Macaca mulatta: one gene and its partner. The protein of the gene in region 1 binds, or shares a complex with, the protein of each later gene. Links are inferred from orthologs where the notes say so. Each region holds a gene or a part of one and is shown in the gene's direction. Other genes may lie near its edges.

Region 1 (6,970 bases):
AAAATTTAAAAATTTGTATGAAATGGGGAGTCTTAATGAAAAAAATCAAATTAAATGTGTGATCGACTTTTGTTTTAAGAAACTAGAGGAAAATTAAGATGCATTATAAAAGTTGGGTAAGTGATGGAAAATCGTAAAAAATGACTTAAAAATTATACTCATTATTCCATTAGCAATACCTAGAAAACTACTACAACCTCAAAACAGATGTGAAACAGTTTAGAAGAAAGGAGAGTAATCTCATTGTTAAAAAAATCCAACAAATGCAGAAGTTCCTTGGGTTGGCAGCAACAGGGAAGCTGGACTCTGACACTCTGGAGGTGATGCGCAAGCCCAGGTGTGGAGTTCCTGACGTTGGTCACTTCCACACCTTTCCTGGCATCCCGAAGTGGAGGAAAACCCACCTTACATACAGGTAATGGTTCCGAGTAGTTTTCACATAATATTGAAACTTTATAAGTTACTTGTCATATTTGGATAAGTAACACAAAGTTTTCTTTAACAATTTTTCATAATGGCGGGAGAAAATAGTATCCTCTTCAATTTTTCTCCTCCAGGATTGTGAATTATACATCAGATTTGCCAGGAGATGCTGTTGATTCTGCCATTGAGAAAGCTGTGAAAGTCTGGGAAGAGGTGACTCCACTCACTTTCTCCAGGCTGTATGAAGGAGAGGCTGATATAATGATCTCTTTTGCTGTTAAAGGTAATCAAATAAAGCATCCATTTATCTGGTGTATTAATCTGTTTAGACTGCTAGAGCCAGATACCTTGGACTGTGTAATTTATAAACAACAGAAACTTATTGCTCACAATCCTGGAGGCTGGGAAGTCCAAGATTAAGGTGTCAGCAGATTTGGTGTCTGATGAGAATCTGTTCTTCATAGATGGTACCTTCTGTGTCCTCACACAATAGAAAGGGCCAGGAGGTTCCCTCAAGCCTCTTTCGTAAGAGCACTAATCTCATTCATGAGGGCAGAGCACCTATGACCTAATCACTTCCTAAAGACCTAACCTCTTAATACTATATCACAGTGAATATGGAGTTTCAACATATGAATTTGCAGTAGACACCAGCATTCAGACTATAGCATCTACTGTTGTTTTATTGGAACAGGGTAAAAATAAATTCTGAACCCTTATATTTCCATTAATTTTGTTTCCCTATCAGAACATGGAGACTTTTACTCTTTTGATGGCTCAGGACACAGCTTGGCTCATGCCTATCCACCTGGACCTGGGCTTTATGGAGATATCCACTTTGATGATGATGAACACTGGACAGAAGATGCATCAGGTGGGTTGTAAACCTCTCAGGAACATTTCAGGAATAATGTCTGATCCTACCCAAAATAATTGGATTATCTAGAATGAGAAATAAATGGAATATACTAGTAACTGAATTTTTTTATTGCCTGAGCTTTAAACAGAAGTACTGTTTGTTTCAATCATTATTGAAGAATTTTATAAAATGTCTGTATTTTCATGTTTGCCCCCACCAAGTACAATATTGTAAAAGCCATTCAGACTTATCTCCACAACTCAGGATCTTGTAGGGGTTTGAGGATCAGCATAATTAATGTTTTTCATCACTTTAATGGCAAATGATTAGGGTAGAATGAATTCCATTAAATCAGTTTCAATCCTAAAATTTGCCCTTAAGTTTTCTTTCTTTCTTCTCATTGGCCTCCTTTTTACTTAAAAGTAGAGATCAGGAGAAAATGCCAGGAACTGAAAAAAACACTGTTAGATCATCTTTTTAAATAAACATGTCACTATCTCTAGCTTAGATGGGGTTTTTTCCCCCCTGAATGGGCTTTGAAACACTTTACATCTAAACATAATGACAAAAATTAACTGTATGCTATTTAATTTTTAAAATGGCTTCTAAAGTTTAGAAACACACTGTTGAAACAATCACTATTTCTGAGAGTGCCTGGGATTTTTAATGTAAATGCAAAGAACATCTTTCCTGAGTACAAGACTCAGGAGGCTGAGGCACGAGAATCGCTTGAACCCAGGAGATGGAGGCTGCAGTGAACCGAGATTGCACCACTGTCCTCCAACCTGGGCAACTCTGTCTCACAAGACTGAAATCTGTGTTGCATGAAATGATTGCCTTTTATTTGAACAATTGTTCTTTTCTGCACAATTCTTGGAGCCTTGGTCAAATATCTACTACTAAATTCGATAAAACTCTTTTTATAATATTTTTTTAAAAGCTGAATCTAGCTGTGCTTGTGCTGCAGAAAACTGTTATTGGGCATGTTTCTGTTTTAAACTAAAGATTGTACACATCCAATGGCACTTATTACTGGGAAGATTTTTGACAATCAAAAATTATTTTATTATGGCTGAGCACCGGTGGCTAATGCCTGTAATCCCAGCATTTTGGGAGGCCAAGGTGAGTGAATCACTTGAGGCCAGGAGTTCGAGACTAGCCTAGCCAACATGGTGAAACCCTATCTCTAAAATATAAAAATTAGCTGGGCATAGTGGTACGTGCCTGTAATCTCAGCTACTCAGGAGGCTGAGGCATGAGAATCGCTTGAACCCGTACTCCAGCCTGGGCAACAGAGTGAGATTCTGTCTCAAAAAAAACAGTTACTTGAGTATGATGAAGAGGAGGAAGAGCAAATCAGACTAAACTCCACAAGAAATAACTACAGTCTTGTGGCCTAAAAGTTTGGGGAGCAACATAAATGTTATATGATTAATTTTAACCGAGGTTGCAACTGGCACATGTTCCTAAATTTGAACAATGACTTTTTACTTTTAGACAACGAAGAGTTATATTTATTGACATGGATATTAGTCTTGTCCTTTCAAAAAAAAAATCTTTGGAAATAATGCTTCTCATTTGTCAATATAGGAAAAGTGTCTTAGTTTTCCCGACCAAGGAGGGATCTAGGGAGCGATACGGTGAAAAACTGTCTTATATATTGACTTAAAGTCAACCTTGAAAAACACATTAATTTCTATAAAGTATGGAATATGCCAATCAATGAACCAATCCACAAATACTGAAAAGACCATGTGGTTTCAAGGATGGCCTGCACAGCTGGCATATGTTCTGTATGTGTATTTACGGAATAAATAGCTGGTGGATTCTGAACATTTATGGTTGTCATACAGGCACCAATTTATTCCTCGTTGCTGCTCATGAACTTGGCCACTCCCTGGGGCTCTTTCACTCAGCCAACACTGAAGCTTTGATGTACCCACTCTACAACTCATTCACAGAGCTGACCCGGTTCCGCCTTTCACAAGATGATGTGAATGGCATTCAGTCTCTCTATGGTGAGTGACGCTGGAAAAATTAGGCATTGTAGCTTTGCAATGACAGTCCTCAAGAAAGCTTTCCAATGCTACCTAAAGTATTTCTGATTTAGCTTGAAGCACTTTGAGAATGTTTGAAAGGCATACAAATTGACAGATGCATCACATTTTTTAAATGTTTGCATCCCCAAATCTGTCTCCTTTAGGACCTCCCCCTGCCTCTACTGAGGAACCCCTGGTGCCCACGAAATCCGTCCCTTCAGGATCTAGGACGCCAGCCAAGTGCGACCCTGCTTTGTCCTTCGATGCCATCAGCACTCTGAGGGGAGAATATCTGTTCTTTAAAGACAGGTCAGACCAGAAAATTATATTTTTCTGTCTATTCTTTTGATGTACAGTGCTTAGAAAGGAAAACAGAAATTTGATAGAGGTTTTTTTAAAAAAACTTTTATTTTAGGTTCAGGGCTACATGTGCAGGTTTGTTATATAGGTAAATTCGTGTCATGGGGGTTTGTTGTACAGATAATTTTGTCATCCCAGTGCTAAACCTAGTACCCGGTAGTTACTTTTTCTGCTTGACAGAGATTTTTGTAAATACAAAATTTTCTCTATATTTTAAAATCATTCAGATCTAGTTCTTGTTGAATTTTTAACATCCTGTTAGAATTGTCCAGGTCATTTTTTACACTTACAAGGGATGATTCTAGACTGTAAGCTTGATTAAGGCAGGGAGTTATATCTGTTTTGTTCATTTTTTAAAATATAAATCATGGAACTTCTTCAGAAAGCACTGGTGAATCCTTAGAAACAGGGTGATATCTTTCCCTTTGCTAAAAATTGCTACTACTTAAATTAATTACTTTTGGAAAAAAGTGATATATGCTTATGGCACAATATTTAGACACTGCCAAAAGATACAGAGTTAAACAATCTCTCTCTAGTCTTTGGTCTACAGTCCCCCAGCTCCCTTCACATGTGTAACCACTGCTACCAATTTCCTTTAACTCTTTACAGAAATGTTCTATTCATATACAAGCATCAATACGCACATAATATTTTTTAAAATATTAGGACATAATATACACACTGTTTATGGACTTTCAGAGTGGAAGCAAGCTAAATAATTTTATTGGAACCAGTCACAAGTCCTGCCATCAATTTTATTACCCTGGAATCACATGCAGGAGGATGGTTTAATATAGACTTCTATGAATGCGTGAATTAGCATGGATTTTTTTTAAAAGAATACTTTTTTTCACATAGCTAAAGGAGAAAGACAATTGCAAGTAATTTTATGTATTACAGATATTTTTGGCGAAGATCCCACTGGAACTCTGAACCTGAATTTCATTTGATTTCTACATTTTGGCCCTCTCTCCCGTCATATTTGGATGCTGCATATGAAGTTAATAGCAGGGATACTGTTTTTATTTTTAAAGGTGAGTACTATATAAGAATTTTCAACTTGCTGGAATAAATCCTAGTGTGAAAATTTTATCGACATGAGTTTTCTCCATTATATTAAAGTTTAGATTACTGCAAGACCTTGTGCTAACACTTAAATAAAATTTGTACAAAGAACATTATAAACTTTATTTTAGAGACCTCTTAAGTGAATAGGTGGTATTCCATATTCATGGATAAAAAATGCAATATAGTAAAAATGTCAATTTATCTATAGATACAAGACATTTTCATTTCAAATGCCAAAAGATTTTTCATGGAACTTGACAAATTAGTTTTACAATTTATACGGCAGCAAAGAGAATAGCCAGGAGGCTCCTGGTGAACCCATCTTATTAGATAAGGAGAAAAGCCCTGTGTTATAAAACTTTAATCAGTAAGATGTAGTATCAGTTCAGGGAGAGATAAATTAACTAATGGAGCTATTCAGGTATGGCGGCTTCTTTATCAGATTTTTAAACTACGGTTTCAATTTGTTTTATTGGTAATATGCTATTTGAGTTTCTATTACTTCTTGAGTCAGTTTTGTTAACATGTTTTTCTAAAAGTTTGCCAATTTTGTCTGTTTTCAAATCCATCAGTAAAAAGTTTTTGGAAAATTATTTTGTTGTAATTTGAATTATTGCTGAAGTTTTGTTCTCTTTTTCATTCCCAATACTGAACCCTTTTGCCTTTCTCTTTTTCTCTTTATTAATCTCATAATGTATGTAATAATGTTATTGATCTTTTCAAAGGACTGACTTTTGGCTTTATTTATCCTCTATATTATATTTTGATTTCCCATTTAACTAATTTCTGTTCATATCCTTATTGTTGCCTTAAGTTTTGTTTACTTTTAATTGATCCTGTTATTATTGTTATAGCTTAAGTTTGATACTTACCTTATTAACTTGTAACTTTTTTCTTTTCTAATATAAGCATTTATACCTATAAATAACCATTTCTTCTTTTTTATTCAGCAAATTTTGATATGCAGTATTTTCATTTTGTTCAATTTTAATTCTTTAATTTCTCATCTTTATTTTTCCCCTAGACTTATAGGTGATATTGGAATATTTTTAAATGTCAAGCTTTATGAAGATTTTAAAAATGTTTATTTCTGGCAATCTCACTTTTGTGAAGATTAAATGAATGTGAAATTGCAATAGAAATTGTAAAGAATTATAACTCTAACATATTATTATCCAGTAATGTATCTCACATTTACATATCACTTGCACTGTGTCAGACACTATGCTCATTAGTGGAGGTCAGGACTGAAAAGGGCTCATATTCTAGAAGGAGCAGCAGAGATGAAGCCATAGGCAGCCTACGTATGGCAAGTGCTGGTACTGAGAGAAGGAAGGGTGCCATGGGAGCATCTGACTCATATCCAGGGCTCAGCAAAGATCCCTTAGAGGAAGTGATGTTAGGATGGGTCTTGAAGTTCTCTTTTGCTGTGCAGAGATCGGCTGGGTGTACAGGAAGTAGAAAGATCTCTAAGAAAGAAGAAATTGTTTTTGCCAAGTAAGAGCATATCTGGAACTGCTCAGACACATAAAAGTCATTCAGTTCAGATGAAGCAAGAGAGATAAACAACAGATGGGCATTTTAGATTAGTGAATCTGGCAGTAGTGTGAAGAAGGAATTCAGGCTTGGGGTCCTGGAGAGTGATGTAACAAAGTAAAGGCAGAGAGATGGATGGGATTTTGTTGTCCTAACTCACTAGAATTTGAATGAATTCCAATAGTGTTCAGAAGAAGCACAGATTTGAATTGGTGACTGTGAAATACCTCAAAGGAAGTGTACAATAAGCAATGATCTATTGGTATGAAACTTAAGAGAAAGAGGTCTAGGTGAGAAATTCAGGTTAAAAAGTCACCAGCAATTATAAGAAATAACTAAAACTGATCTATAAATAAACTATAACTTATAGATACAAATATATAAGCCACAGAAAGGACAATGAATCAGAGTTATCTACTCATTTATTCATTCTTTCACTCATTCATTCAGGGAGTATTTATTAAAGACTGGCTGTGAACTGGGCATTATTAGGTTGGAATTAAAACCAAGACTTCCTCTTTACCACAACAATGCACTATAATCATTTTTAAAATCAACGGCTTCATGTAAAATTTATTGGATTTGTTTTTTCAACAGGAAATGAGTTCTGGGCCATCAGAGGAAATGAGGTACAAGCAGGTTACCCAAGAGGTATCCATACCCTGGGTTTTCCTCCAACCAT
Region 2 (6,970 bases), on another chromosome or scaffold:
GGCATGGTGGCTCATGCCTGTAATCCTGTAATCCCAACACTTTGGGAGGCCAAGGTGAGGGTGTCACTTGAGCCCAGAAGTTTAAGGCCAGCCTGAGTAACATAGCAAGACCCTGTCTCTACAAAAAAATATATAGAAAAAATTAGCAGGGTGTGTGGTGGTTCACACCTAGCTATTCGGGAGACTGAGACAGGAGGATCACTTGAGCTTGGGAGGTCAAGGCTGCAGTGAGCTATGATCATACCATTGCACTCTGGCCTGAGTGACAGAGCAAGACTGTCTCAAAATCAATACTGGAATATTGGAAGGAAATACATCAAAATGTTTGCTATGGGTAATGAAAGTGGGGAAGTTTTTTCTTGATTGTTTCCTACGTTTAAGTTTCTGTCAGTGAACATGCATTATGGCTTTTTTTTTTTTTTTTCCACTTTTTATTTTTTTGAGATGGAGTCACCCAGGCTGGAGTTCAGTGGCGCGATCTTGGCTCACTGCAACTTCCGCCTCTGGGGTTCAAGAGCGATTCTCCTGCCTCAGCCTCCCAAGTAGCTGTGATTACAGGCATGTGCTACCACACCCGGCTAATTTTTTGTATTTTAGTAGAGAGGGAGTATCATGTTGGCCAGGCTGGTCTTGAACTCCTGACCTCAAGGGATCCACCCACCTCAGCCTCCCAAAGTGCTGGGATTACAGGAGTGAGCCACCGTACCTGGCCACCCATTATGTTTGAACTCAGACTAGACAGTGTGCAGTGTTGTTACAGCAAAATCCCAGCACCCCTGCGCCGGGTGGAGGAGCTGGGCAGGAGGACTTGTCCCTCGCTCTGAGCTTGGTGATCCCGTCTCTCCGCAGGAAAGGCCGAGGGGGATGGCAAGATGCACATCACCCTCTGTGACTTCATCGTGCCCTGGGACACCCTGAGCACCACCCAGAAGAAGAGCCTGAACCACAGGTACCAGATGGGCTGCGAGTGTAAGGTAAGCAGGTCCCGTCTCTGCTGAGGCGTCGCCTCCTCCCACTATCTCCAGATGGACAGCACATGAATTCAGCTCTGTTACTTGCCCCTTCCAGAAAAAGGAGCTGTATGGGGAGTTTTGGTCCCTGGCTTTCCAGAGCCTCTTAATCCCGGGGTTCTGATTTAAGACCAGGCTCTGGGAAGGCAGAGTCATCCCAGGAGTGAGGCTGTCTGGCTGGCGACAAAGCCTTTGGCCCCTGGTCCCTGGAGAGCCCTGAGACACATCTCTGTCAAGGGATGTCTGGAGGCCGGGCGCCATGGCTTATGCCTGTAATCCCAGCATTTTGGGAGGCCAAGATGGGCAGGTTACTTGGGGTCAGAAGTTGGAGATCAGCCTGGCCAACATGGTGAAACCTGTCTCTATAAAAATACAAAAATTAGCCGGGTGCGGTGACGCATGCCTGTGATCCCAGCAACTTGGGAGGCTGAGGCTCGAGAATGGCTTGAACGTGGGAGGTGGAGGTTGCAGTGAGCCAAGATCGCGCCACTGTACCCCAGCCTGGGTTGACAGAGTGAGACTCTGTCTCAAAAAAAAAAAAAAAATGGAGGGGGATGTCTGGAAGGCTAGGAGATTTGAGAGTAAGGCATAAATTCAGCTCTGTTACTTGCCCCTTCCAGAAAAAGGAGCTGTATGGGGAGAATATGGTCCCATGGATCATTTCCTACAAATGCGGATATGCAAACCCTTGTGTGCCTTGTGAGAGGGCACTGCAGGCCTCATGCTTTTTCCAACATTCCCGACATTTTCACACCTGGGTCGGTGTCTACGTGGGGTCTGTGTGTTGAGAACACCTGCTTCTCTTCAAATGAGCCCGGAGGTTGTGCCAGGCACAGTCGTAGCAGCCCGACGCTTGGATGTGACTGTGGAAGGCGAGATCACCACCTCCAGGGCTCCCGGGCTGGCTCCTACCCTGTGGGCTCCTAGCACCCTATCCCCACCCTTCCTGCCGGAAGCATTGCTGAGTGCTGGGCACCTGCCACCCTGGGTCACTCCCAGCGAGTCTGGGACCAGTAGACTCTGGTGAGGCCGTGGGGATTGGCCTTCCTTGGGGAGCTGCCTGGGGCTGCCCTCCCTCCTGACGGCCACCAGCCCCTTCTCAGCATGTTCAAAACAGGAATTCTGAACTCATAGTCTCCAGCCACACATATGTTAAGCAAAACTCCTCTGTGCCCAGCATGAAATCAAAAGCAAGTTCTTCCTTTTTCTTTCCATGGGGCAGTGAAGGCAGTCATCCTCTTGTAGCCTCGGGTTCCTTTGCCAAATTGCTAGTTGCCTATGACCTCAGGGCTCGGCCTTGAGCAGTTCCCAATTCCCGGCCTTTTCACTGGGCTGGAATCTGTCTCCAGGAAACCCAGGCCCTTTTATTGTTGCTATGTCCCCCAGAGGGCAGGGCCAAGCCAGGCCATTCTCTCATGCTCAGGAAGGTAGAAGATGGCCCAAAGGGAAGCACACCTGCAGCAGGAGGGGGGCCCCGGTGGGCGGGGCACAGCTTCCCTGCAGGTAAGACCCCCTCGCAGGCCAGCCGCCTGCCCCTGCAGGAGCTGTGGGTCTCGGGAGAGGCTGCCATCCCTGCACACCGCAGGTAGGCACATTGCCGGGTTCTGGACATGCCCCCAGAGCAGCCTCTGCCCACCCCTTCCTGGGTTCCTGACTCCATCCCCCTCTGTGTGCCCCTCCCCAGATCACACGCTGCCCCATGATCCCGTGCTACATCTCCTCCCCGGACGAGTGCCTCTGGATGGACTGGGTCACAGAGAAGAACATCAACGGGCACCAGGCCAAGTTCTTCGCCTGCATCAAGAGAAGCGACGGCTCCTGTGCGTGGTACCGCGGCGCGGCGCCCCCCAAGCAGGAGTTTCTTGACATCGAGGACCCATAAGCAGGCCTACAACACCCCTGTGGCCAACTGCAAAAATAGCCTCCAAGGGTTTCGACTGGTCCAGCTCTGACATCCCTTCCTGGAAACAGCATGAATAAAACACTCATCCCGTGGGTCCAAATTAGTACAGTTCTGCTCCCCGCTTCTCCTTTTAGACACGGTTGTGGGTCTGGAGGGAGACATGGGTCCAGGGTCCTCATCCCATCCTCCCTCTGCCAGGCACTGTGTGTCTGGGGCTTCGATCCTTGGGTGCAGGCAGGGCTGGGACATGTAGCTTGCCTCCCAGTCCCTGCCTTGGCACCGTCACAGATGCCGAGCAGGCAGCACTTAGGGATCTCCCAGCCGGGTTAGGGCGGGGCCTGGAAATGTGCATTTTGCAGAAACTTTTGAGGGTCATTGCAAGACTGTGTAGCAGGCCTACCAGGTCCCTTTCATCTTGAGAGGGGCATGGCCCTTGTTTTCTGCAGCTTCCACGCCTCTGGCCCTAGTGTAACACTCCCTGCCCCTGGCAAGTACCCCCATCACCCCGGTGCCCACCATGACCTCCCAGCACTTGTGGCTCCCCCCACATCCAGGGACAGCCTGGAACCAGCGGCTTATTCTTGAAGGAGCCCCATCAATCCTATTAATCCTCAGAATTCCAGTGGGAGCCTCCCTCTGAGCCTTGTAGAAATGGGAGCGAGGAACCCCAGCCTCAGCTGAGTCTTTTTGGTCTCCTGCACCCCCCGTCCACATGCTTCCCCAGCCTGCAGGGGGAATTGGTGAGGTCCTGTCCTGAGGCTGCTGTCCGGGGCCGGTGGCTGCCCTCAAGGTCCCTTCCTGAGCTGCTGTGGTTGCCATTGCTTCTTGCCCATTCTGGCACCAGGCACCTGGATTGAGTGGCACGGCTTTGCTTTATCTGGGCTTGTGTGCAGGGCCTGGCTGTGCTCCCCATCTGCACATCCTGAGGACAGAAAAAGCTGGGTCTTGCTGTGCCCTCCTGGGCTTAGTGTTCTCTCCCTCAAAGACTGACAGCCATCGTTCTGCACGGGGCTTTCTGCACATGACGCCAGCTAAGTGTAGTAAGAAGTCCAGCCTAGGAAGGGAAGGATTTTGGAGGTAGGTGGCTTTGGTGACACTCTCACTTCTTTCTGAGCCTCCAGGATACTTGGGCCTGTTTTAAGAGACACCTCCTTTTTCTAACGATGAATTCTCAGATGATGAATTCTCAGATGACAGGTGAACCTGAGTTGCAGATATACCAACTTCTGCTTGTATTTCTCAAATGACAAAGATGACCTAGCTAAGAAACTTCTTAGGGAACTAGGGAACCTATGTGTTCCCTAAACATGGTTTCCTGAAGCCCGTGATATGGGGATCAGAATAGGAAGAACTTTCTCGGTAACGATAAGGAGAATCTCTTTTGCTCCCACCTGTGTTGTGAAGATAAACTGACGATATATAGGCACATTATGTAAACATACACACGCAATGAAACTGAAGCTTTTCGGCCTGGGAGTGGTCCTGCAAAATGCTTCCAAAGCCACCTTAGCCTGTTCTATTCAGTGGCAACCCCAAAGCACCTGTTAAGACTCCTGACCCCCAAGTGGCATGCAGGCCCCATGCCCATCGGGACCTGGTCAGCACAGATCTTGATGACTTCCCTTTCTAGGGCAGACTGGGAGGGTATCCAGGAATCGGCCCCTGCCCCACGGGCGTTTTCATGCTGTACAGTGATCTAAAGTTGGTAAGATGTCATAATGGACCAGTCCATGTGATTTCAGTATATACAACTCCACCAGACCCCTCCAACCCATGTAACACCCCACCCCCGTTTGCTTCCTGTACGGTGATATCATATGTAACATTTACTCCTGTTTCTGCCGATTGTTTTTTTAATGTTTTGGTTTGTTTTTGACATCAACTGTAATCATTCCTGTGCTGTGTTTTTTATTACCCTTGGTAGGTGTTAGACTTGCACTTTTTTTAAAAGAGGTTTCTGCATCGTGGAAGCATTTGACCCGGAGCGGAACGCGTGGCCTATGCAGGTGGATTCCTTCAGGTCTTTCCTTGGGTTCTTTGAGCATCTTTGCTTTCATTCGTCTCCCGTCTTTGGTTCTCCGGTTCAAATTATTACAAAGTAAAGGATCTTTGAGTAGGTTCGGTCTGAAAGGTGTGGCCTTTATAGTCGATCCACACACGTTGGTCTTTTAACCATGCTGAGTAGAAAACAAAACAGGTTAAGAAGAGCCTGGTGGCAGCTGAGAGAGGAAGCCGCTCAAATACCTTCACAGTAAATAATGGCAATATATATATAGTTTAAGAAGGCTCTCCATTTGGCATCGTTTAATTTATATGTTATGTTCTAAGCACAGCTCTTTTCTCCTATTTTCATCCTGCAAGCAACTCAAAATATTTAAAATAAAGTTTACATTGTAGTTATTTTCAAATCTTTGCTTGATAAGTATTAAGAAATATTGGACTTGCTGCCGTAATTTAAAGCTCTGTTGATTTTGTTTTCGTTTGGAGTTTTGGGGGAGGGGAGCACTGTGTTTCTGCTGGAATATGAAGTCTGAGACCTTCCGGTGCTGGGAACACACAAGAGTTGTTGGAAGTTGACAAGCAGACTGCGCATGTCTCTGATGCTTTGTATCATTCTTGAGCAATCGCTCGGTCCGTGGACAATAAACAGTATTATCAAAGAGAACGTGGGCTCTCTCTGTGTGGCTGTATCCTACATTCAGAATGGCCACTTTCTAGCTCAAGAATGGGAATCAGCCCCTGCAAGGAGCCTTTCCTGTCCAGCGGGAGGGGGCGCCCTGTGTCCTCCAGAGAAACAAGGCCAGTGAGCTCTGAGTCAAATGTGGGATGCAGACTAGGTGCAGTGGCTCACGCCTGTCATCCCAGCACTTTGGGAGACTGAGGCGGGTGGATCGTTTGTGTCCAGGAGTTCGAGACTAGCCTGGCCAACTTAGCAAAACCCCGGCTCTACAAAAAATAGGTGTGGTGGCATCTGTCTGTGGTCCCAGCTACCCAAAGGGTGCGATGGGAGGATCACTTGAGCTGTGGTGGCAGAGATGGGACAGGTAAAAGCAAATGTGGTTTTCTTAGGTGGATGAAGAGGCAGAAGCGTAGGACAGGGTCCCCCTCATTCAGCACGTTTTATTATAGAGAAACGCAGAGCCATGCACCTGTCTCACAGCTTCAACACTGAGGGCTTCATGGCCAGCTTTAGACCTACCCTCAGTCTTCACCCACCCTGCCCGAAATTATTTGGAAAAAAAAATTCCAGGCATCAAACAGTCTCATTTATCAATATTCCAGTACGCATGTTTAAAAAATAAAAACTACTTTTTTTTTTTTTTTGAGATAGTCTTGCTCTGTTACCCAGGCTGGAGTGCAATGGCACAATCTTGGCTCACTGCAACCTCCGCCTCCTGGGTTCAAGTGATTCTCCTGCCTCAACCTCCTGAGTAGCTGGGATTACAGGCACCCGCCACAACACCCAACTAATTTTTGTATTTTTAGTAGAGACGGGGTTTCACCATGTTGGTCAGGCTGGTCACGAACTCCTGACCTCATGATCCGCCCGCCTCGGCCTCCCAAAGTGCTGGGATTACAGGCGTGAGCCACCGCGTCTGGCCAAAAATTAAAAACTACTTTTAAAACCTTTTTTCAGGCCGGGTACAGTGGCTCACACCTGTAGTCCCAGCACTTTGGGAGGCCAAGCTGGGCGGATTGCTTGAGCCCAGGAGTTCAAGACCAGCCTGGACAACATGGAGAAACCCCAACTCTACAAAAAATACAAAGATTAGCTGGGCGTGGTGGTGCATGCCTGTAGTCCCAGCTACTCGGGAGGCTGAGGTGGATCACTTGAGCACAGGAGGTGGAGGTTGCAGTGAGCTGAGATCGCACCACTGCACTCCAATCTGGGTGACAGAGTGAGATCCTGTCTCAACAAAAACAAAAAATCCAAAATACCTTTACCACATGTTAAACACTTACTTAGAATTCATCAATGTCATCAAATATCCAGTCAGTTTCTGACATCTCTAACTATCTCATAGATGCTTTTGTGTGGTTTATGGGTTTGAATCAA

The links.
Region 2: the proteins of MMP10 (region 1) and TIMP2 are in contact, whole or in part, in a crystal structure (PDB 4ILW), measured with the Homo sapiens proteins. The link is inferred for Macaca mulatta from reciprocal best matches to the Homo sapiens genes MMP10 and TIMP2. Residues at the interface, in NP_002416.1 of Homo sapiens: Glu155, Asp169, Phe170, Tyr171, Ser172, Pro176, Gly177, His178, Ser179, Leu180, Ala181, His182, Ala183, Tyr184, Pro185, Pro188, Gly189, Leu190, Tyr191, Val214, His217, Glu218, His221, His227, Pro237, Leu238, Tyr239, Phe242; in NP_003246.1 of Homo sapiens: Cys27, Ser28, Cys29, Ser30, Pro31, Val32, Gln36, Ala37, Asn40, Ser57, Gly58, Asn59, Asp60, Tyr62, Asn64, Pro65, Ile66, Lys67, Arg68, Thr91, Ala92, Pro93, Ser94, Ser95, Ala96, Val97, Cys98, His123, Leu126, Cys127.

Annotation. Positions count from the first base shown.
Region 1 is NC_133419.1:103,645,028-103,651,997, reverse strand, and holds part of MMP10 (stromelysin-2), read left to right. Parts: intron 1-173; 5' UTR 174-263; coding exon 264-415; intron 416-557; coding exon 558-706; intron 707-1,171; coding exon 1,172-1,297; intron 1,298-3,135; coding exon 3,136-3,300; intron 3,301-3,485; coding exon 3,486-3,630; intron 3,631-4,584; coding exon 4,585-4,718; intron 4,719-6,885; coding exon 6,886-6,970. UniProt on the Homo sapiens protein: Can degrade fibronectin, gelatins of type I, III, IV, and V; weakly collagens III, IV, and V. Activates procollagenase.
Region 2 is NC_133421.1:88,535,114-88,542,083, reverse strand, and holds the end of TIMP2 (metalloproteinase inhibitor 2), read left to right. Parts: intron 1-849; coding exon 850-974; intron 975-2,694; coding exon 2,695-2,892; 3' UTR 2,893-5,573; downstream 5,574-6,970. UniProt on the Homo sapiens protein: Complexes with metalloproteinases (such as collagenases) and irreversibly inactivates them by binding to their catalytic zinc cofactor. Known to act on MMP-1, MMP-2, MMP-3, MMP-7, MMP-8, MMP-9, MMP-10, MMP-13, MMP-14, MMP-15, MMP-16 and MMP-19.